Drosophila melanogaster: one gene and its partners. Changing the gene in region 2 together with the main gene of any one other region gives a genetic interaction. Each region holds a gene or a part of one and is shown on either strand. Other genes may lie near its edges. The genes, in order: Gyc76C, PlexA, SelR and Ras64B.

Region 1 (4,669 bases), on a different chromosome or scaffold from region 2:
ATAAGCAAGTTAATATGACAAGGTTCGAGTGTCCAAAATTACACCGCTGTATCAGTAGAGTGGCTTATCAGGGAAACAAAACAAATCTGTTATCTTTGCACTGCTCTCCCTCTCGCTGACTGGCCCGAAAAACAATTATCACAAATTCCAGTTTTCGTTATTTTTTCGATTTTTTCCCCGTATTGTTGTAAAATTTATGGCGCTGCGGCTGCGAACACTCTTGTTAACACATTTGTCGGAATTTGTTTTTCATTCAATAATAATTATTAACACAAACCGCACTGGATTTTATTCGAAATTCTATTCGGCTTTTTACTTTTTTCACCTTTTTCGCACTCTTTGGGTTTTGTTTTTGCCCCAATCCAATCAGAGAAATATATATATTAAACATACATATGTATGCATAATATCTTTTTCTGTGAGTGCGTATGTGTGTGTGCGAGAGTGCGATGGGGCGCACGCGGCTTTGCCGATCCGAAAAAACAACTTGGGGCGCAGGAGAATAGAATAATACTGAAAGCCCCAAACGAAAATCGGGCGAGCGACACCGCATGCTCCCAGAGATGGCACTTTGGCTTTTTTCACTGTGTTAAGGTAGGCATATGAGGACGCTTTATCAAACAATTTTAGTTTCGCTCAGTGTAGGATATCCGAAAGATATCCATCAAGATATATTATCAACACTTTTTTAAAATTTTTAAAACTAGGTTTAAATGGATTAAAAGATAAATAGTCAAATTATATTGAGCAGATACATTTTGGAAAAACATAGTCCTCATTTAAAAATTGCACGATAAAAGGTATAACTAAGTACTATACTAAGAAAAGTAGCGTTGACTGCCACACACTTAGCGGTTTTTGCTATCCGCCAAAGATTTGCTCCTCTCACTTGCCATCACTGATTTCCGTGCTCTCGGAGATGATATGAGAACAGTAATTGACGCTGCCGCTGCGGATCAACATGTGTGTGCTGTAAGAGAGCGGGAGAGCGAAATCAGTTCTCTCGTTCTCCCGCTCGCACACATTCATGCAATGGGCATCTGCAGCGAATTCTATTTTTAAACTTAAATTAATATTGTTCTTTATTTTATCAGCAGCGGCGCGAAAATAAAGCAGGCAGCGTCGGCGTTCGAAGGCGGCTGCTGTGAGGGAGAGGCAACGGGAGCGGCGGCGGAGAGCAGAAAACAAATAAATAACACGAGAAAAACTAGACGCTGCTACTGCTAATCAGGCAGAGAAAAGATATCACTGTCTCCTTCTGTCTCCATCCCTTTCCCACTCTATGCCGCTCTATCGGGTGTGCGAAAAGCGAAGCTCAAATGCTGTCGCAGTGCTAGTGCTCTGTCTCGCTTCGGCTCTCTCCATCTTCTTTGCCCGCTATCACCGCTTGATAAGAAATGCGTTAATCTTTATTAAGCGCTGCCGCTGCTAGTGTGTGCGTGTGTATTGGTGTGTATTCCGCTGAGCTCGTGCGTGTGTGCGTTTGCGGAGTATTTACATGGGAGTTTTTCATTTTCTGCTGACAATTTCCGTTGGAAACTTTTCGCCAAGGAGGTGCTAACACTAGCAAAACTGGCAAAGTCCAAACGGAAAATGTAATTTATGCAGAAAGCCGGAGAAACAGAAGCACAGAGAGTATGAGAACAGTCAGAAGAAGAAATAGAAAAATCGGACCAAATCTACAACAACAGCTTGTTGGATGACTCAATATTGCAGTGAAATAAAGGCTCTTTTGTATCAAGGAAAATAGGAAATGATTAATACAGGAATATTTCCAAGTTGCAAGACAGTTGGTAAATAACAGAGTCATAATCACAGCGTTCGGTAATATATTTAGTTTAACATTAGGTTAAACTAATTTTAGTTATTTTATATTTAGTTTAACATTAGGTTAAACTAATTTATTGAATAAATAAAGTCTGTATATTTGGATTTGAAGCATATCCATATATTACCGAGAATAATAAAATTATGCTGCATCATACATACAATCGGATTTATAAAGATTTTGATAAGCTAAGGTGAAGTAGAAATATAAAAAATAGGATTTAGTAGTGAAATAGTCCTCTTAAGATACTTTTCCTGATGACCGTTGGTTGAATGTTTTCAGTTTAATTTAAATAATAGGCATTTGATATAAATAAGCTTCGTCTATATTGAAAACAATACACCTACACTTAAGGCAACCAAATTTGCAGTTAGTATTTCCAATTGGCGACCGTAAAGGTAAACAAAAATGTAAACTGTTGCAGACAGCAAATGCGGTAAATCGCAAAAATCGTAAATAAATCCTAAGATTGTGCCAAAATAAAACCGTTTTAAAGGTTATTCATAGTAGCAAGTGCAAGTTTGTCGGTCGAAAATGGCAACCCTGGCGAGACAGAGCGAACAAGTGTGAGCAAGAGCATCAGAGAGAGGGCAGAGGAGATCAGTTGTTGTGATAATGCAACGGGTGAAGAAAACAAATGCAAAAAGTTTCTGCGTGTGAGCGCGAAAGTGCGTGAGCGGCGGTCCAAACAAAAACAAAAGCGCGAAGCAAAAATGGTTTTCTTTTTGTTTCAGTTTATGTTCCTATTGTTGTTGGTTGGTAGGTTTTTTTGCTTTTCCAACGACGTGACAAGTGCAAAGAGCGCCAAATTGTACATTTTTATGCATGGGCCGCCAGTGCATTGTGAAACTTTTCCGACTTTGCCTTTATGGCTGTGCATTTGTTTTATCACTGCAGCACTTTTGCCATTGCGATCGTGTGGGTGCCGCTACTTTGTGTGTGTGCATTTGTGTCTGCGTTTTCGAAAGAGCAATTCAGAACGCAATTAACACTGACGGCGCCCATGCTGGTTATCAATTAAATCACATATTCACTTTGTACCATTTTACTAAAAACGAATAAAGAACCTCATCATGTTGCTCTTTCCAAACGGTTATTTCGAATTTACCGCTTCTCTGGCTCCGCGATTCGTCCGCGTTTCCCGTTTTCCGTCGCGACTACCTACCCGATTTTGAATATGTGATGTAGCAGTGTGGCCAGTGCGTTGTGCCAATTTACCGGAACTTTTTGTCTTCAACATTCCTTGGTATTTTTAAGTAATTCTAGCGCGGTCACACGGCTCTGGCGCTCTCTTAATTATTCTCTTGAATGTAGGTAGCGGTGACATCCACCACGCTCAGCGAGGACAACCGCATATTTTAAATTACACTTATACATGTTGAATTTATTTCCTTACTCTGCGTGTCAGAATCAGCGTTGATATTTTATGGCAGTTTTATAAAATACATCATAAACTATTAAATATATATATTTCTATACAGGCATTGTAAGTAATACAGCTGTTTCTTGATGCCAGGGAGTCAAGACCTGAACCAGTTCCTTAGGCCCGAACTACTGCTCGTCATCCCTGAAGAACAAAGTTTACTGCAATCGAAAGCAATTGTTTATTAAGCTGCAAATATACTCGTGAAAAAAATCAAAACAACCATGAACAACAAGTGTTGCAACTATTACTAACTAGTCGCTAGTTTAAAGCAAAGTGCGTTGACATTAACCAGTTATGGAAAAACAAAAGCACACGTGAACTAAGAAAACAGATAGAAGGTGGTAAAGGTGCGTTTCTTTTTCTGCTAATAATGTAGATAGTGTCTAATAGATTAATTTTCGCGGAAATCAGATCGGGAAACCAGTGGAGCCTGGGAAAATGCCCTGTTGGAGCTCCCAAAGGCCAAGTGGCGTCACTAAAAACATCGTATGATCCGGTCGAGCCCTCTGATTGGTTGAAAGCGCTTACGCATGCTTTCCCGGTCGCGTATGTGTGTGTGCAGTGCACAGTGGGCCAAAAGCGAAGTAAAAGCTTAGACCGTTTAAAAATATTCGCCTCTATTGCAATTTGCATTAGTCTAGCAAAACTTGATATAGCCAAAATGATCTCAAGATATTATATTTTGTTCCTATTTTAACTACGAGCAAACAACAAACAAACAAAAACAAGTTAACACATATGCCATTTTCAGGTCCGACTGTGATTCACTTTAGGTTTGAGTACAATTAAAAGATTTATTTTAACTTTGTTACGTATATTACAAATTTAATTATAAAAACCCCTTTTAATCTGTTATTAAAGCTGCAAGTGGCCACTGTGGAAAAAGGGTAATTAAATGAATTAATGTGATTATAAACATATTAATATTTGTTTTTTCCGGCACCAACATACTTGTCCCACTGTTGTTATTGCGCCGCATAGAACTTTAATAAACAATCCTCAAATGTACAAACATACATACATAAATATGCACATACGTGGGCCCGCCAGTATTTAATTACGAACCGTTTTTGTCCCTTTCATCAGCAGCATTCGCAATGGACACGACACTGATGAACTTAATAGACGCTCCGCTGGACGAGTCCATGGATTTGTTCAAAGCGGAGGATGTCTTCGAACCGTTCGACGCCGACCTGCACTCGGACATGCTGGACATCATCCTCAACGACATGGACCTGGCGCCGACGCAGATGTACAACATGCTGCTGGACGAGCCTCGAACGCATACCCAGCAGACGCAGTCCGTGGATCAGCAGCCGCAATCCGTCGAGCAACAGCCGCACGTGAAAAGCGAGCACTCTTCGCCAGTGCACATCAAGGAGGAACTGCATCAGCAGCAACAACAGTCGCCGCTT
Region 2 (4,613 bases):
TCGACATGTGACTTCGGACTGGATTTGGTTGTCGTTTTTTTAGGGGTATTCGGCGGAAAGGCTGTACATATAGAATGGAATTTATAGTATACATGTATTATAGGCACTCGAGTTTTAATCCTACAAAGCACTTCAAAAAATTTTGCTTGAAATCTTATTTCCCTCCGTTATTAGTCGGTTGGGCATGTGCTTCTCAAAATATTTACTCGATCATTTAAATTTGAATTGGATAAGCAAGATTGTATCATAACGACGTCACGCCCAATCTAACGCCCACAATTTCTGTGGGCGTTGTGTTGTTATTTTGTTTTCATTTAATTATCTGTCATGATATTGACATACCACAAAAATTTTGCCACACCCAAACTGTTATGCCCACTCTTAAGAATTATTTTTCGATTTTATTTTATAAATTCTCTTGGCTGTTTCTATCGATTTGCCAAACGTATTTTAGCCACGCCCACTGTTCCCACTATCTGAATAACGGGTAAACCTTTTATTTCTGACATTTTAAGGCAGATTGTGGGAGGTAGGGTTAAACAACAAACGTTCTGCAACAATCTTGAAAAATGTGGCGTCACTTGAATCTACATGCTCTGAGCTCTCTAGAGTTCATAGTTCCGAAAATATCAATTCTCCATAAGTTTGTTCCTTTCTACATTTCTATTTTACGATTTAGGGGAATAAACTTTTGAAAAGTGCGTCAACGGTATCTTCTGACAGTTTCCCACAAGTTGTTGATATCCTGTTGTTTAACGTGAGATAGACGATTTATGGATAGAATTTACCTTAGTAGCGCCAAAAATACCGCAAACTGCGCACGCACGAAGCTGAGAATGTAAGCAGCCAATAGTGGAATACACTTCATGTGTACATGTGCAAATAAACACCCTGCAATTCAATTCATTTAACTTTTATCTATATGTCATTTCTTAGAAAAAATCTCTATTGCTAATCAGCCCTCAAAACAGTGAAATTATTGATTATTTTTTTTTCTTACTAACTAACTAAGTCTCTAACTACATGGTCATAACAACAATGCTTTAAATCAGATGTGTAAATATGCACATCTGCAGTCGGTGTCAGTTGAAGATATTTCAATAGGTCATAAAATGTGCACAAAGGCCAACAAAAAAAAGTTGTGCCATGAAATTTTAAATAACAAAATTATGCTTTGATACAGTTTGCGCACATATTTGCTGTGGATTGAGGAGCTGTTAGCATGAAATTCTTAAGTCCAATTTTTCAATTTACATTTTCATTGTGAACAGACCTTTATAGTCTCATCACACTATCGATATTAAAGAAAACGAATATATTAAATATATTTATTTCATTTTTTAATAATGCTCAAGGAAATTAGAGAGATAATAAATATTATCTGGCTTGGGAATCAAACCCCTTCCAAATTACTTTCGTACGAGTCATTACACAGTAACAACAAGACATTTTCCATGTACTCGTGAACATTACATTTTGAAGTGTGCCATCGGTTAATTTAGGTATCGATAGTGATAGGTATGAACGGGTCTTAGGACTAACAACTAGTTGTTTAATTCTCTCCTCTGCCTTATAGTATCGATAACATTTACATACAATGATGTGTAAATTAAAGTGTGGTGTAATTCGAAAATAGACAGAAATTATGTTCAGTGACTTGCGATGTAAAGAAATAATAGTTAATGAGTGAAATATAGGAAAACAAACAGTAAGCCGGATTTCCGATTGTTCACTAGAAAACTATCGCCGTTCCATAATTCAGATATACATACAAAATTGTCATTTTTTGCTAAATATTAAAAAAAGTGTAATAAAATCATTTAACGTTCCAGTGTATATTGCATTGCTTTAGAATTATTAAGAAAATACAAATTTTCTTTAACTGGTATACAACGTTGTATGTATGTAAAAATTAAAAACGGCCATGCAATCATTTTGTTTTATGTACTTAAGTATATATTATATTTATGTAAATAGTATTTTTAAAAAGTGTGGCTCTTATTTAAATACATTGTTAGCTGCGTTTCACACATACGAAATTAAATGCATCATGCATTGGGAAAGATAGCAGCAAAATAAAATTTGCTGTATATGATGTGCATGTGTATGCATATAAATATATACATTTTGTATAGATGTGTGTGCACCAGAATATCCCAAAAATTCCAAATGCAAAAGATCGAGTTTTACTTCTCTCAATAATCTTTGCCTAAAAACATTTAAACTAAGTGCACTTACATTTTACCGGTTTATTATATGTATTTAAATTCGGGCGCTGGCCAAATTTGTATGTATGTATGTGCAGTATGCATATATGCATTTGCAATGAAATTACCAAATATTGTGCACGCTCGCCCAAATTTGAAATCCTGGAATAGCCGTGAATATACTTTAAAACTACATAAATTCTCTATAACGAAATGGCTTGGAATAAGTGGCCTGAGTGCGAATATATGTAAGTGGAAAAAAATTGAACGTTTGGAACTGAATTTGTTCAAAGTTTTACAATTAATGTGTTAGGTAGAGGAAATTTTTTATTGCAAAAACGAGATATGCTTATATAGCATACATAGGAAACTCCTTAGCTTGGGATTTCCATTCCATTAATATTTATAGCATGATATGGATTCATGTTTAATATATATGTACAGTTGCGGTCAACATATTAGCGGCAGTAGCGGAATATATTTTGGTCGGTTATAGTCCTATTCGGAGACAGTAAATGGTAGAGCACGTTGGTTCATGAATTATGCTTTGGGTGAGATTTTCATATTAAGGAGTTGAGCCAGTATATCTGAAGCTCCATCTTCAGTTCCGTCACCGGGTTCTTGCTTTGCCGAACCAAGCGCTTGGATGCTTGGAGAGCATCCAAGTTGGACATTGAAGGCTTTCCTCGCCGCGTTTCGTTCTTTTCGACAAACAGCAGTGATTTGCGGATCATTTTGTTTGAACAACCGACAATGCGACCAATTTCAGCGTAGGTTTTACCTTCAGAGATCACGTTTTTAATCAAATTTCTTTTTTCGACGGTACAATGCTTTCCGTGACCCATGACTAGAGAATTTTTGGTCTTCGTTTGGAGCAAATTCAATTAAAACCTTTAATGCAACACCTTTTTTTCAAAATTTGTCGTAAAAAAAACCAAAGCAATCACTCCCATTAATTTTATTCAGCAAATACGTTTTCAGTGCTATTTTTGTTACCGCCTCATTTCGCGCACTTTTGCAGCAAGTGCCCAAAAACAAAAAGAACCGTTAAATTGAGAGACTAAAAATTTATTGCTCAAAGAGGCAACATATGGTACTTATTATTCATGCAATCTGGCTTAAAAAAAAAAAAATTTATAATTTTTTTTAGGATATCAATTTTCCACCTGCAGTAGTGCTATTATTTTAACCTTAACTGTAGTTTCAAAACTATTTGTACGACATCATTTTAAACTATGCGATAAACTACCCATGTTTCAGGGAAGTACACTTACAGCCAACCCACAGTTTTTGTTTTGACGTGATTAAATTTTTAAACTGAGTTTTTTTGGCTGTGAAGATTTTCAAAATTACGATTTATTGGGTGTTCACGAAATACATTTATAATCTATATGTAACAGCATTTCAATGTTTGGTGATCCACACAAATAGAATTCGAAAGAATACTATAGTCGAGTTCCCCGACTCAGATACCCGTAACTCAGCTAGTGTGAATGCGAACGCGAAATTGCTTTATTTTTCTGGGATATCAATATTAAGGAATAAAATGAGAAAAAATTTAAAATTTGTTTTAAAATGTGAGCGTGGCAGTTTTGCGCGGTTTTAGGGCGTTAGAGTGGGCGTGGCAACATAGGTTAACAAACTTTCGCTCCGTATTTGTCTTTAGAATCTGTATGCTGAATCTCAACCTTTTAGCTGATATATACAGCTGTGTTCATAAAAATAGCAGTGCTTGGGACTTGCGAGTTTAGGATAAAAAATCATATGATTTAAAGTTGTAATGGGAATTTTTTTCATAATTTTATTATTATATCAAACAATTCAACATATGTTTCACTTTTATTTTTTCAATAGATATAGATTAAAACAACATAATAGGCAGAAATTCTGGTGTTCACTGAAATAGCAGTGATATGAAAAAATAGTAACAACATGACTTAGAACTAACATAGTTTTTTTTTAATGTGTTAATTAGGGACTAATACCTGGTTGGATTGCCTTTTTTAGCCAGCACAGCCTTACACCTACTCGGCATGGAGTCCACGAGGACGTTTGGGGGAATTTTTGCCCATGCATCCTGCACAACTTGCCAAAGCTGAATCTTGGACATCGGGGAATTCTTCGACACGTATTGTTTAATGTCCCCCCACAGGTTTTCAATCGGGTTTAAATCGGATGATGGTGCTTGCCACGGCATTGCATCTATTCTATTTTGGGTGAACTTATTCTTAGCCGATTTGCTTCTGCGTTTCGGATCATTATCCTATTGGAATGTCCATTATAAGGGCATATTCCATTCAGCATATGGCAGTAAAACATCACTAGGTATATTTACATACCATTAATCATATGTATGGGACCCACACCGTTGTATGAAAAACAGGCCCATACCATATTTATGTCCAC
Region 3 (7,109 bases), on a different chromosome or scaffold from region 2:
CGACGCGAATCCGAAATTATCACTTCGACGTGCCCGAATTGTATTTACACTGAAATCGCTGTTAGATAATTGCGAATTTACAATGCGGTTTGAAAGTCACAAGCAAACAATCGCATGTGGAACGCACAGGTGGGTGGTCCAGTTTAAAAGTTCTCCAGTCACCCTACACACGTGTCGCACTTCAAAATCAAACGATCGCATACTCGGCCCATTCGCTGTTATCGATTTGTCGCCAGCACATCACTTCGGGCTAATAAACATTTAAATTCACCTTATACGGCGACTGCAATTAAAATCAATTGACTTCCGAGCCATAAATAAATTCGATTTCATGTTGTTGCGTCGCCGGTCGTTACGTCACGTCAACAACAACTGCGGCGCAGCATCTGTTTTGCGCAAACAAGGGAAGGCAACTGACGTAGTTGGCAACGCGGCTCAGCTGTTCCGTTCTCACCTGGTCGGCACTAACAACTACGTTCAAATTAATAGTGACAACTGCAAAAACACAACACATGCAAGCACCGTTTTATTGTAAAAAACACACGTTTATTTAGCGCGCTCACTTTAAAATTAGTACTGTGTTGAATGTGTGGGGTTACAGAGTATTCGGTATTTGGGTTTGTATAAATTAACGAACAAATTTCGAACCAAAACATTAGCTATTTACACAAACAGAGGGGCGATTGACTTGACTACGAGCTAAAATTGGCCACATTTGCGGAAAGTTAGAAAGTACACGTAGAAAAATTTCTTAACAGCAACGACACTCTGAGGCTTGCCTCCTCCGTTTGGCGGTTGATCCTCGGCATCACTGCTGGGCAATGGGCGCCGCGGTGGGCGTGGCCACGGGCGGGGACGAGGTGGCGGGATCCGCGTTCACGAACTCAATGGAGGCGGAATTGATGCAGTAGCGCTTGCGGGTCGGCTTCGGACCATCCTCGAAGACGTGACCCATGTGGGCGTTGCAGCGGGCGCAGCGGACCTCAGTGCGTATACGTTCTGGATGTGCGATTAGTAGTAAAATATTGCCCCCTATTTAGTTTGTATTTTGCCATTTCGTGGGATTAATTGGATACGTTTTGATTGTTGTTTTTTTTTTTTGTTGTGTAGCGCATTTTGTTGACATTTTTTACAATATATTCATTTTTTTGATCGTTTTGCAAGGTTAATTCAAAGTTTTTCGGTGTAAACAAATCAAACAGAAATAGAAAATTGATTGTGAAATGGGTGATAAATGTGAAGCAGAGAAAGAATCACAGAAAAGAGCGAAGAAATAACGGCAAATAAATGGGAGTGCAAATCAGAGAGCGAAGGAGGAGATGCAGCAGAGAGAGAGAGAGAGAGAGCGATAATTAACAATGGGTGGCAGGTGAAACAATATGAAATGAAGTCACATAAACCGGTGAAAATAATTGACGAATCAGGAATATAGATGATTTTCCGAACGATTTGGCGTACATGTTATTTTGGTTAATTAAGCATTTCATGTGTCGTTTTTTCGGGTGTTATAATTTCAGCGATGAGTTAAATGTTTTCGTGTTTTTGGTTAGCAAAACAAACCCCCAAAAAACGTTTACAGGCGTTGTACATTTAGTTTTTTTTTTGTTTTTGAAGCGAGTTAAAAAAAGAGAAATAGAAAATATACGAAAATACACATTATTTGGATTGTTTAAAACACTCTATATAGTTTATGGATATAATGTTGGTTAAAGTATTCGGGTTATGTTATTGAAATCAAAAGAAAATTGAGCGTGAGTAAAAAGCAACAAACTAAAACGTAAATCGAAATCATACAAATAACCAAATACAGCACCGGAAAATAATATTTTAAAATAAAAGCACCACATTCACACAGACATACACATAATGGCCCTGGCCCAAAAATAAATCCAATCGACCTTGTATAATGATCGAAATATGGTATGTGGAAAAAGCTCAATGATCTATGTAGATTCAAAACCGAAATATGTATGAAAATTGCACTTAACCGAAAAGAAAAACATATAAACTAACTAAAGGAACCCTCGTCTTATCCCAAAATAAATGATAACCTTGCGCAAAACTTAACTTCTTGCTAAGCACGTAAGTTCCTACAAAATGGGTTAATTTTTATTAACGTACAATATACATATCCTATAGATACGATGAGAATGCAAGGGGAGATACTTTTGAGAAGTAGAGTTCATCTACACAGTGAGTGAGATTGTAAACCGAAAAGAGTGCATAAACCCAGGCCAGGAACTGTAGACTCGCATTTCCGTTCATAAAACTTTCGTAAACTTTATAAAGTTATAATATAGAGATAGAGATTTGAAACCGAAACATACATAGGGTAAAAGTAGGAAAAGTATATAGCAAATGGAATCTGCTGGGCTGAACTACAATACTAAACTCTCACTCCTCGTTCCGCAATACATTTTCAAACATCGTTCTTGTGTATAAGCTATGTTTTTTTTTGTTCGTTAAACAGTTTTGCATAATAAACGCCTATAAAATAGCTAAATATCTTTCTTTGCTGGACCTGCAGCCCTCTATAGACCCGGAGTAGCATCTACCGCTGGTCTATATGGGGCTACTCCTCCGGGTGTAATGGTATTCCTTGTGGTTAGCAGGCAGATCGGTCATTATTTCTTGGACGAGGCCGTCGATGGATCCGCCTTCGATGGCGTCGCACTCTTCACGAAATCGATGGACGCGGAATTGATGCAGAAGCGTCGATGCTTGGGCGGCGGTCCATCATCGAAGACGTGGCCCATATGGGCGGAGCATCGGGAGCAGCGCACCTCGGTGCGCACCATGCCTAGCGTTTTCGAAATGACTACTGTTGGTTTAATCGGTTTACAAGTGATACTCGTGGGTGATATTCGGGTGGAATCGATATGGCATTAGTTGTATTTCATGTGGTTTTTTTTTAGAAAGAAAGAAATGTTGAGAAAGTCAGGCGGGATAGAAGAGTGGGATAAGAGAACACAATACTCGGTTAGGAATCAATTTTAGTCGCTTCTTCTCGCTTTGTTGCACATTCAGGTGCTGCAACGGCAGCAGGAACACTCACTAGTCACAAATCACCGGCACAAGACTAAACACAGTAACACAACAATGGCAAGGCCAACGGCACAACTACAGTGAACTCTGGGCAGTGGAACAGTTTTGGGGTCGGGTTCAAGATCAGATTTTAAACACGAAACAAAGCAACAAACAAGGCAACACAAACAGCACAGACTTTAAATGAATAATATTAGCTAATGGGTTTATAAGGTTTAATTAAGCCATTAACTAATAAGCCTCTTCTTATAAACATCTCACTTTATGATTTTATTTCTTTACAATGACTTATGCACACCATTTTCTTTAGAAATGGAAAACAATCAAGCTGAAGGTCATACCAAAATATGAAATATACATATGTATATGTTTATATGCTTATATAACTCTACAATTAATCGTTATCAAGGCTTCTTTATAAACTTGGTAATCTTATGATTGCTCTTATTCACACATGACAACTAGGCGAATAATTACTCTAGTCTGGGTTATATTGTCTCCTAGGTGGATAAACGCAAATGAAATTCTCAACTCTTGGGTGCGGCAACGGAACAGCAACTCAAATAAAAACATAACTCAAAACGCTTTGCAATAATCAACAGCTAAAAGTGCCGAGCAAGGTCTTGGCCAAAAGTGGGCCGCCTGGCCAATACGCACCTGGTATGCTGGCATCGCGGTGCAGCGTGACCTTGCCCTTGTCTAGGACATCGTTGAAGGCCGGCCATCCGCATCCCGAGTCGTACTTGGTCTCCGAGCTGAACAGATCCTGGTGGCACACGATGCACTGGTACACGCCCTTCTCGTAGTGTTTGTTGTAGCAACCTGTGGACATTGCATTCCATCATTTGGGAATCAGAATTGAATGCACTTTGTTCGAGGGGTGGCGTTCCATCTTGATAATGGCTTATGGCTGCATGTTTTGTTAGGAGAGACTCACCTGTGAAGGGTCGCTCGGTGCCCGCCTCCTGGGTAACCTGATACTGCACCGGGGTCAGGCGCTTGCGCAGCTCCTCCTTGTTCACCGTAACCTTCTCGCTCTTGTTATCCATAGTCGCTGCTGGTCCGGAATACCTTTTGTCCGGATTGTCGCTGTCTTGGCGTGAATCTGGAATGCAATACAATACTTTGGTATTTGATTTGCGGTCGGGTCGGTTTGAGTGTGCTTTTCGGTTCGCCAGCAGTTGGGTAATGGAAACTGAGTAGGGGATTTCGTCAAGCTTCTGTAAGATTTCCCTCATAATCTGCCCACTTATCGGTGGGACTTTCAACGAAACCTTGGGCAATCTCAACTCGCTTATTTGAATGCGGCCATCTGACGATAAGAAGCTTACTACTATCAGCCATGAGTTGCTGAAAATACTTTCTCGAAACTCATAATCATCTTGTTTTCTCATACAAACGATACCATACCATTTATGAAAATGAATTATATGAAGAAAATTTTTGGCATTTTTGGAACCCAATTTGATAAGGAAATATATACATAAATATTCTTATTCCAATATTAAACAAAAGCTATATATAGCGTACAAAATATAGAAAATACTTATCATTTTCTTAAACAATTTGTTAACAATCTTGAAAACTCAAAATCAAAGTTGTGCATCCAGGGAATTAGTAACACCAATTTTGTATACAAACTTGCCTGCTAATTAATGAAGGTGTAAACAGATTTGTTAAGTGCGGCCAACAAATGGAGTGGAGAAACGCATTGGGCCAAAAATAGTTTTATGGCTTTTTATGCTGCTTGCCCGCCGTCAATCAAACGGAGTGGCGCCCAAAGCAAACGAAGGCGAAGGAAAAGCCGAAAAAAAAACCGAAAATCGAATAGCGTAGGTGGAGCAGTCACCTTTTATTTTCGGTTTTTCCGAGTGCAACAATAGAAAAGCCAGCCAAGTGTGTCGCGGGCAATTGAAGACAATGAATTCATTGCGAGCAAAGTCAGAAAATAGCGGCTAAATTGCGTTCATATAGAATGCAAATGTATAAAAAAATCAACTCAAATTGTGTCTAAAATTAGCCGATGGCCAATCGATGAGCATGGGCTGACACGCCCACAGGTATTACAAACTATACCTGCGACTTTTTAGTGCAACTCACCTGCGAAAAAGCGTGGAATGGCGAATATTCGAGTGCGCCGCAGTGCGTGGCGAGCAGAAAGTGCAAACATTATGTGGCTAATTTCAGGTGACAACTGCACTTGGCACTGCCTGGTTATTTAATCAGCACAGCAACAGGGGGAAAATGAGCAGAGCAAGGAGGAAAAGTCAATGTTTTGTCCACTGCGCACTGCCCACGCGTACTAACTAATATTTATGCAATTCGCGTTGCCACTTCCGTCTACCACATTTCCCACATTTTCCGTTCTATTTTCGTGCGCTTTTCTGCTTTTGAACGCTTGGCGAGGAGAAAGCGCAGTGCAGAGAAAGTCGCAACTCAATTAGGGAAAATGCGCTCGCAATTGTGCTTCAATGTCACCAGCGGAGAACCGAAAAGAAAAAACACTTAATTTTCCCACACTTAAATGGTGCGTCCTTGGGTTTTCTCTAAGCTGGAAAACTACTCACCTGCTGAATAGCGCTCTAAATGGTGCTGATTCTATTTTTGGCCTTTTGTTTATGAATGCGCCAAACGCGGGCGAAAACAAGCGTGCGTCGCAATGTTACGCAGCGGTGGAAAATTAAAAACTAATACAAAAAAAGCTGCTTGGGAAAACAGCTGCACGCGATGAAAATCAAACACCTGGCTGGCTCGCGTTGCCAATCGAATGCTGGATGATAGGCAACAAAGGCAGTACGGTCACGCGAACAGCTGACTGGCCGCGCTGCCAACTGCTGCCTAATTGGACAGCACGTCTGGCAACGCCGGGCACTTTGTTATTTTTAGTGGCTCCATAAATTTGCTTATCAGTCATAAAATTTAAGCTAGTGCGTTAATTCATCATATTCGCTGCGGGGAAACACCAGAGTTAGACAGTCCACCACTGACGCACTGCGAAACTATAGCAAAACAGCCGTGCAGGCCGCTGAAGAGACCACACGCAAAGAGGGCGTCAACAAAAAGAAAAAACCGTGGGGGAGGAAACCTGGGCAAAAATACCAGGAAAAGTAATACTCATCGAAATACTCGGCTGAAAACACGACTTGCACATTCGCGTGGCCATGAGCAATCACAGATACCATCAGGGGGGCAACTACATGCACCCGCGGATCTCCACCTATCCGCACCACTTCAGCTACGTTTCCTCTTGCGTCAAGTACATGATCTTCCTGCTAAACTTCCTCTTCTGGCTCTTCGGCGGCCTGCTCCTGGCCATCGGCGTGTACGCCTTCATGGACAAACTGATGGACGGCAATGGCTGGCTGCGCTTGGACACCATCTACGATGTGATCTTCAACATCTCCCTGGTGATGATCATCGCCGGAGTCATCGTCTTCACGGTCAGCTTCGCCGGCTGTTTGGGTGCGCTGCGCGAGAACACCTGGCTGCTAAAGCTGTACTCCATGTGCCTGCTTCTCTTCTTCATACTGGAGATGTCGCTGGCCATCATCTGCTTCGTTTTCCCGCAGTACATGAACTCGTTCCTCGAGTACCAGTTCACGGACAAAATCATCCACTCGTACCGTGACGACTCCGACTTGCAAAACTTCATCGACTTTGCCCAGCAGGAGTTTAACTGCTGCGGCCTGAGCAACGCCGGCTACCAGGATTGGAGTGAGTATTTGATTCATAAGCCACAAACGAATTAATTCCATGTCCGTATGCATACAGGCAAGAACGAGTACTTCAACTGCTCATCGCCGTCGGTGGAGAGATGTGGAGTGCCCTACAGCTGCTGTATTAATGCCACCGATATCAGCTCCGGCCTAGTGAACATCATGTGTGGCTATGGCGTGCAGGTGCGTTCAGTGGCCGCCGCCAGCAAGCGCATCTGGACCAGCGGCTGCATCGAGATCGTGCGAGTATGGGTCGAGAGGAATCTGTATGTGATTGCCGGCGTTGCCCTGGGCATAGCCTTGCTGCAGTTGTTCGTCATCTATTTGGCCAAGACCCTGGAGGGACAG
Region 4 (4,662 bases), on a different chromosome or scaffold from region 2:
GCTATCTACTCGCGGTGCTTGCAGTCCAGAAAGAGCTGTGCCTGAGATTGCACGAAGCGGAAGATCTCGAGCAGCATTTCGTTGGAGGTCTTGCAGTTGCCCTGCTGTGTCTCGAAAAAGGTTCCAGGACCAGCTCCGCCCACCGAACGCTTGCCCCAATCCGGCGAGAAGGTCAACTATATAGAGGAAAATAAAATGAGACATCAGAAAGGGATATCCTGCAGCGGGATATGAATTCACTCACTTGACACTGGACGCAGGCCAGCAGCATGAAGAGCACGGCTGCAATGAGGACTTCGCTCTTGGGATTCATTCTGAGTTCTATGCTGGTCCACTTCGATTCAGCCCGCTTTTATACCCATTGAGCTCGAAGGGAAGACAGCTGGTAAGTAATTAACACAGCACTAGCAAGGATTCTTTCTATAATTGCTTGGATTGGGTCGGAATTTTCAATTCCAGTCGAGAGCGTCATTGAAACAATCTTCTATGTGGAAGCGTTTGTGATTCTCCATGTGTTTATTAGAATTGCGCATATGTTTAATTTTAAATTTAATTATATATTTATTTATATACCATTAAATAAGTTCGTTAAATTAAGCAGTGTATAAGAGTTAAAACAAGATTGCGGCTAAAGCAACTGTTGCAATACATTTGGCGAACAATAAACCATAGGATCCGGATCCGACTGGGGACATGTACAAAAGTATCGTTAAGTGAGTTGTGCGCGCCTGGCAGCTGCGGGTATAGTACAAAAATGCCGTGGGTGTAATACAGAGTTTGATGTTTTAGATTTCTACGCGCGAGAACGAGGCACTCAATTTGTTACAACAAAATCGGTTTGTAAGCAGTTAATATATGTATACGTATATATTAGTAGTAAATAACAATACAAATTACAATAACACATTATTACGTTTTGGCTTAATCGAAACAAACGTTCTGGGCTTAGTTATTGCATTATAAAAACAAATGGCCTGCGAGCCACGATTGGTAATAATCATGAAAACATTCGTCCTTAATTGTTGTCGTTGATCAACAAAATAATATTACAAAAATATATGTAGAAATATATATGTATATATAAGTTATTCGTGTGAATCTGTTGTATATATCTACCTATGTTTCGTGTTTCTGTTTGCATTTTGCATTGTTAGTTGTCAGTTGTAAGATTCTTCGTAGCTATTTGAGAGTGGCGAAGTTTATTCGATTCGTTCGTTGAATGCGCCATGCACCTGGGCAGGTAAGAAATGCACTTCGTTTGGGCTCGTTGACACGTTTTGTGCGGTTACTGGTTTCGGGTTACTGGTTTATCGTCTTCTCAACGGAATTCAAAGCTCAGTCGACGCGTGTTTTTCAAAAAATTTGGTGTTATAATCATTATATGTTGGCTCCTGCTTCCGCTGCGGCATTCAGGAGATTCTCTTCCATTTAGTTCCTTCTACATCAGGCAGCACTTCCTCTTGCCCTTCTTCTTGTAATCCTGCTCGATGAAGGGACGCTCGGCGATCTGGAACTTGCGCACGATCCTCACGAGCTCGTGGAAGGCCTGATCGACGTTGACCCTCAGTTTGGCACTGCACTCGATGTAGGGGATCATCAGGTTGCGGCTGGTGTTCTGCGCCTCCTCCAGGGACACCTGCTGCTGGTGCTTCAGGTCGCACTTGTTACCCACCATCAGCATGGGGAACTCGTCGCGATCCTTGACGCGCAGTATCTGGCGCTGGAACTTGGGGATCTCATCGAAGCTGGAATGATCGTTGAGCGCGAAGACGAGCAGGAATCCCTCGCCGGAGCGCATGTACTGCTCCCGCATGGCACTGAACTCCTCCTGGCCAGCCGTGTCCAAAACTAGGTAAAATATCAGGTTATTATGAATCTGGTAAGGGTAAAGAAAGGAAGCTTACTGTCCAATTTGGCTGGCACATCGTCGATGTTGCACTGCTTCGTGTACGAGTCTTCAATGGTGGGATCGTAGTCCGTGACGAAGTAGCTCTGCAAGATTAGGATTAAAATTATTGTACCGCCAGCTGCCGAGGCCACAAAACTACATATATAAACATTATAAGACTGGGTTTTTTATGTGGGCGGGGTGCGTTTATCATTCCGCCTTTGATTTGTTTACACACGTCACTTTTATCATTCACTATCCACTATGCTCTATATATCTTGGGGAAAAGCTACAGCATATACACGAAAGATGTGCAGATGACGCAAATGACTAAAAATAAATGGAAGCGGGCGGTCATTGTGGTCGTGACCATGGCACAAACTCTCGGGGAATCGATCGGCACACCCAGAAAACTGGGGGCTGCGTCTAACGCAACTCCCTGGTTCTGGGCTCTGACCACTTGATCCCCAATTGGAGATACACACGGGGGTGTGGCCACCGCGATGATGATGCTGCCAATGATGATGATGATGATGATTGTGTTGGTGATGATCTCGGCCCGAAACTATGCACACGCATGTCCAAACACAGACGCACATCACAGTCGCTTGTTGCTTGTTTGTTGCTCTGGCCAAAACAAGGGCCGTCCCCCTGCCACCGCCCCTGTGCGCCATCGCCCCCCACTCCCACATTCAAACGCCCCTGTGGAAAGCGACGTCACCAGGGATTGGGCCGATGCTGGGCGGCTTACCTGGATGAACTGTATCGTTATCGCTGACTTGCCCACGCCGCCGCCGCCGACGACCACCAGTTTGTACGTTTGCATCTGCATTTCCCCGTTTAAATCGACCAGTTGGCCAGCAAAATTATTTTATTTTCCTTCCTCGACAGCAGCAGCGTGACCGTTCTCGGTTAACTGAGAAATCCACACTCGCACTGAGACGGGTGCGCGTCTCTGCTAGACAGTAATATCGATATCAACTATCGCTAGCCAGCAATCGACTTTCGCCCATCACTAAGGCTAAGTCATCAAACGAAAAAAATACAGAAAAATTGGCCAAGGAATAGATAAAATTCTTTAAGTCAAGTTAGCCCACGCGAAAAAGCGAACGGAATAAGCTAAAAAGACATATTTACACGCAGTGTGTTCATAATCGAGTTGCCTTTGCGCCCGTGACCAATAAAACGCAGTGAAAATGGCCTTGAAAGTGCTGGTGGGCCAAAAGCTGATGAACGAGGTGGTGAAGTACAAGCCTCCACCACCCAAAAAGCAGGGCGTTACGTCCGCTGCGGGGGCGGGCGGCATGGAATGGCGGGTGCTGGTGGTGGACAAGCTGGGTATGCGCATGGTGTCCGCCTGCACCAAGATGCACGAAATCAGCGCCGAGGGCATCACCCTGGTTGAGGACATCAACAAGAAGCGCGAGCCGCTGCCCACGATGGACGCGATCTATCTGATTACGCCGTCGGATGAGTCAGTGCGCGGTCTGATACGAGACTTCGAGAACCCAGCGCGGCCCATGTATCGCTATGCCCATGTCTTCTTCACCGAAGTTTGTCCCGAGGAGCTATTCAACGATCTGTGCAAGTCGTGCGCGGCCGGAAAGATCAAGACGCTGAAGGAGATCAACATTGCATTTTTGCCATACGAATGCCAGGTGTTCTCGCTGGACTCGCCGGACACATTCCAATGCCTCTACTCGCCGGCCTTTGCCTCCATTCGGAGCAAGCACATCGAGCGAATTGCCGAGCAAATAGCCACACTGTGCGCTACCCTTGGGGAGTACCCAAATGTGCGCTACCGCAGCGACTGGGACAGGAACATCGATTTGGCCGCGTCGGTGCAGCAGAAGCTGGACGCCTACAAGGCCGACGATGCCACCATGGGCGAGGGCCCCGAGAAGGCACGATCCCAGCTGCTGATCCTGGATCGCGGCTTCGACTGCGTGTCGCCGCTGCTGCACGAGCTCACCCTGCAGGCCATGGCCTACGATTTGCTACCCATCGTCAATGACGTGTATCGCTACACGCCCGGCCCCAACCAGCCGGATAAGGAGGTGCTGCTCGACGAGAACGACGACTTGTGGGTGGAGCTGCGTCACGAGCATATCGCTGTGGTCTCCACCCAGGTGACTCAGAACCTTAAGAAATTCACCGACTCTAAGCGCATGGGCTCGGCTGACAAGTCGTCGATGCGCGATCTCTCGCAGATGATCAAGAAGATGCCGCAGTACCAGAAGGAGCTGTCCAAGTACTCCACCCACTTGCATTTGGCCGAGGACTGCATGAAGTCGTACCAGAACTACGTGGACAAGCTGTGCCGCGTGGAACAGGATCTGGCCATGGGCACGGACGCCGAGGGCGAAAAGATCAAGGATCATATGCGCAACATTGTGCCCATCTTGCTGGACGCCAATGTCTCGAACTACGACAAGGTTCGCATCATTGCCCTGTACGTCATGATCAAGAACGGAATTTCCGAGGAGAACCTGACCAAGCTGTTTACGCATGCCCAGCTGTCGCCGAAGGATCAGGATATGGTGCGTAACCTTAGTTGCTTGGGCATCAATGTCATTGCAGATTCGCGCAAGAAGCAGTACTCGGTGCCGCGCAAGGAGCGCACCACAGAAAGCACCTACCAGATGTCCCGCTGGACACCGGTGATCAAGGACATCATGGAGGATTGCATAGAGGATAAGCTCGATCTCCGCCACTTCCCCTTCCTCGAGGGCAGGGCCCAAAATACCAATTATCATGCCCCAACCAGTGCCCGC

The links.
Region 1: of PlexA (region 2) and Gyc76C, changing one suppresses a phenotype caused by changing the other (phenotypic suppression), as found in Drosophila melanogaster (one study listed by BioGRID).
Region 3: of PlexA (region 2) and SelR, changing one suppresses a phenotype caused by changing the other (phenotypic suppression), as found in Drosophila melanogaster (one study listed by BioGRID).
Region 4: of PlexA (region 2) and Ras64B, changing one suppresses a phenotype caused by changing the other (phenotypic suppression), as found in Drosophila melanogaster (one study listed by BioGRID).

Annotation. Positions count from the first base shown.
Region 1 is NT_037436.4:19,790,559-19,795,227, forward strand, and holds the start of Gyc76C (guanylyl cyclase at 76C), read right to left. Parts: upstream 3,012-4,669; 5' UTR 2,870-3,011; intron 1,053-2,869; exon of another isoform or gene 890-1,052; intron 484-889; exon of another isoform or gene 326-483; intron 1-325. Other genes in the region: SREBP (sterol regulatory element binding protein), read left to right, coding at 4,352-4,669. UniProt on the Drosophila melanogaster protein: Guanylate cyclase involved in the production of the second messenger cGMP.
Region 2 is NC_004353.4:1,024,058-1,028,670, reverse strand, and holds the start of PlexA (plexin A), read left to right. Parts: upstream 1-1,569; 5' UTR 1,570-1,708; exon of another isoform or gene 1,709-1,901; intron 1,902-2,135; exon of another isoform or gene 2,136-2,455; intron 2,456-4,613.
Region 3 is NT_033777.3:10,862,827-10,869,935, forward strand, and holds SelR (selenoprotein R), read right to left. Parts: upstream 5,465-7,109; 5' UTR 5,216-5,464; coding exon 5,146-5,215; intron 4,151-5,145; coding exon 3,983-4,150; intron 3,868-3,982; coding exon 3,703-3,867; intron 2,822-3,702; coding exon of another isoform or gene 2,625-2,821; exon of another isoform or gene 1,061-2,624; intron 1,033-1,060; coding exon 809-1,032; 3' UTR 529-808; downstream 1-528. Other genes in the region: Tsp86D (tetraspanin 86D), read left to right, coding at 6,207-6,759, 6,817-7,109. UniProt on the Drosophila melanogaster protein: Methionine-sulfoxide reductase that specifically reduces methionine (R)-sulfoxide back to methionine.
Region 4 is NT_037436.4:4,137,237-4,141,898, reverse strand, and holds Ras64B (Ras oncogene at 64B), read right to left. Parts: upstream 2,824-4,662; 5' UTR 2,721-2,823; coding exon 2,640-2,720; intron 1,993-2,639; coding exon 1,905-1,992; intron 1,849-1,904; coding exon 1,439-1,848; 3' UTR 501-1,438; downstream 1-500. Other genes in the region: Akh (adipokinetic hormone), read right to left, coding at 6-176, 245-313; Rop (Ras opposite), read left to right, coding at 3,085-4,662. UniProt on the Drosophila melanogaster protein: May be involved in endocytic processes and/or other transport pathways mediated by vesicle trafficking. May interact functionally with ROP protein. Ras proteins bind GDP/GTP and possess intrinsic GTPase activity.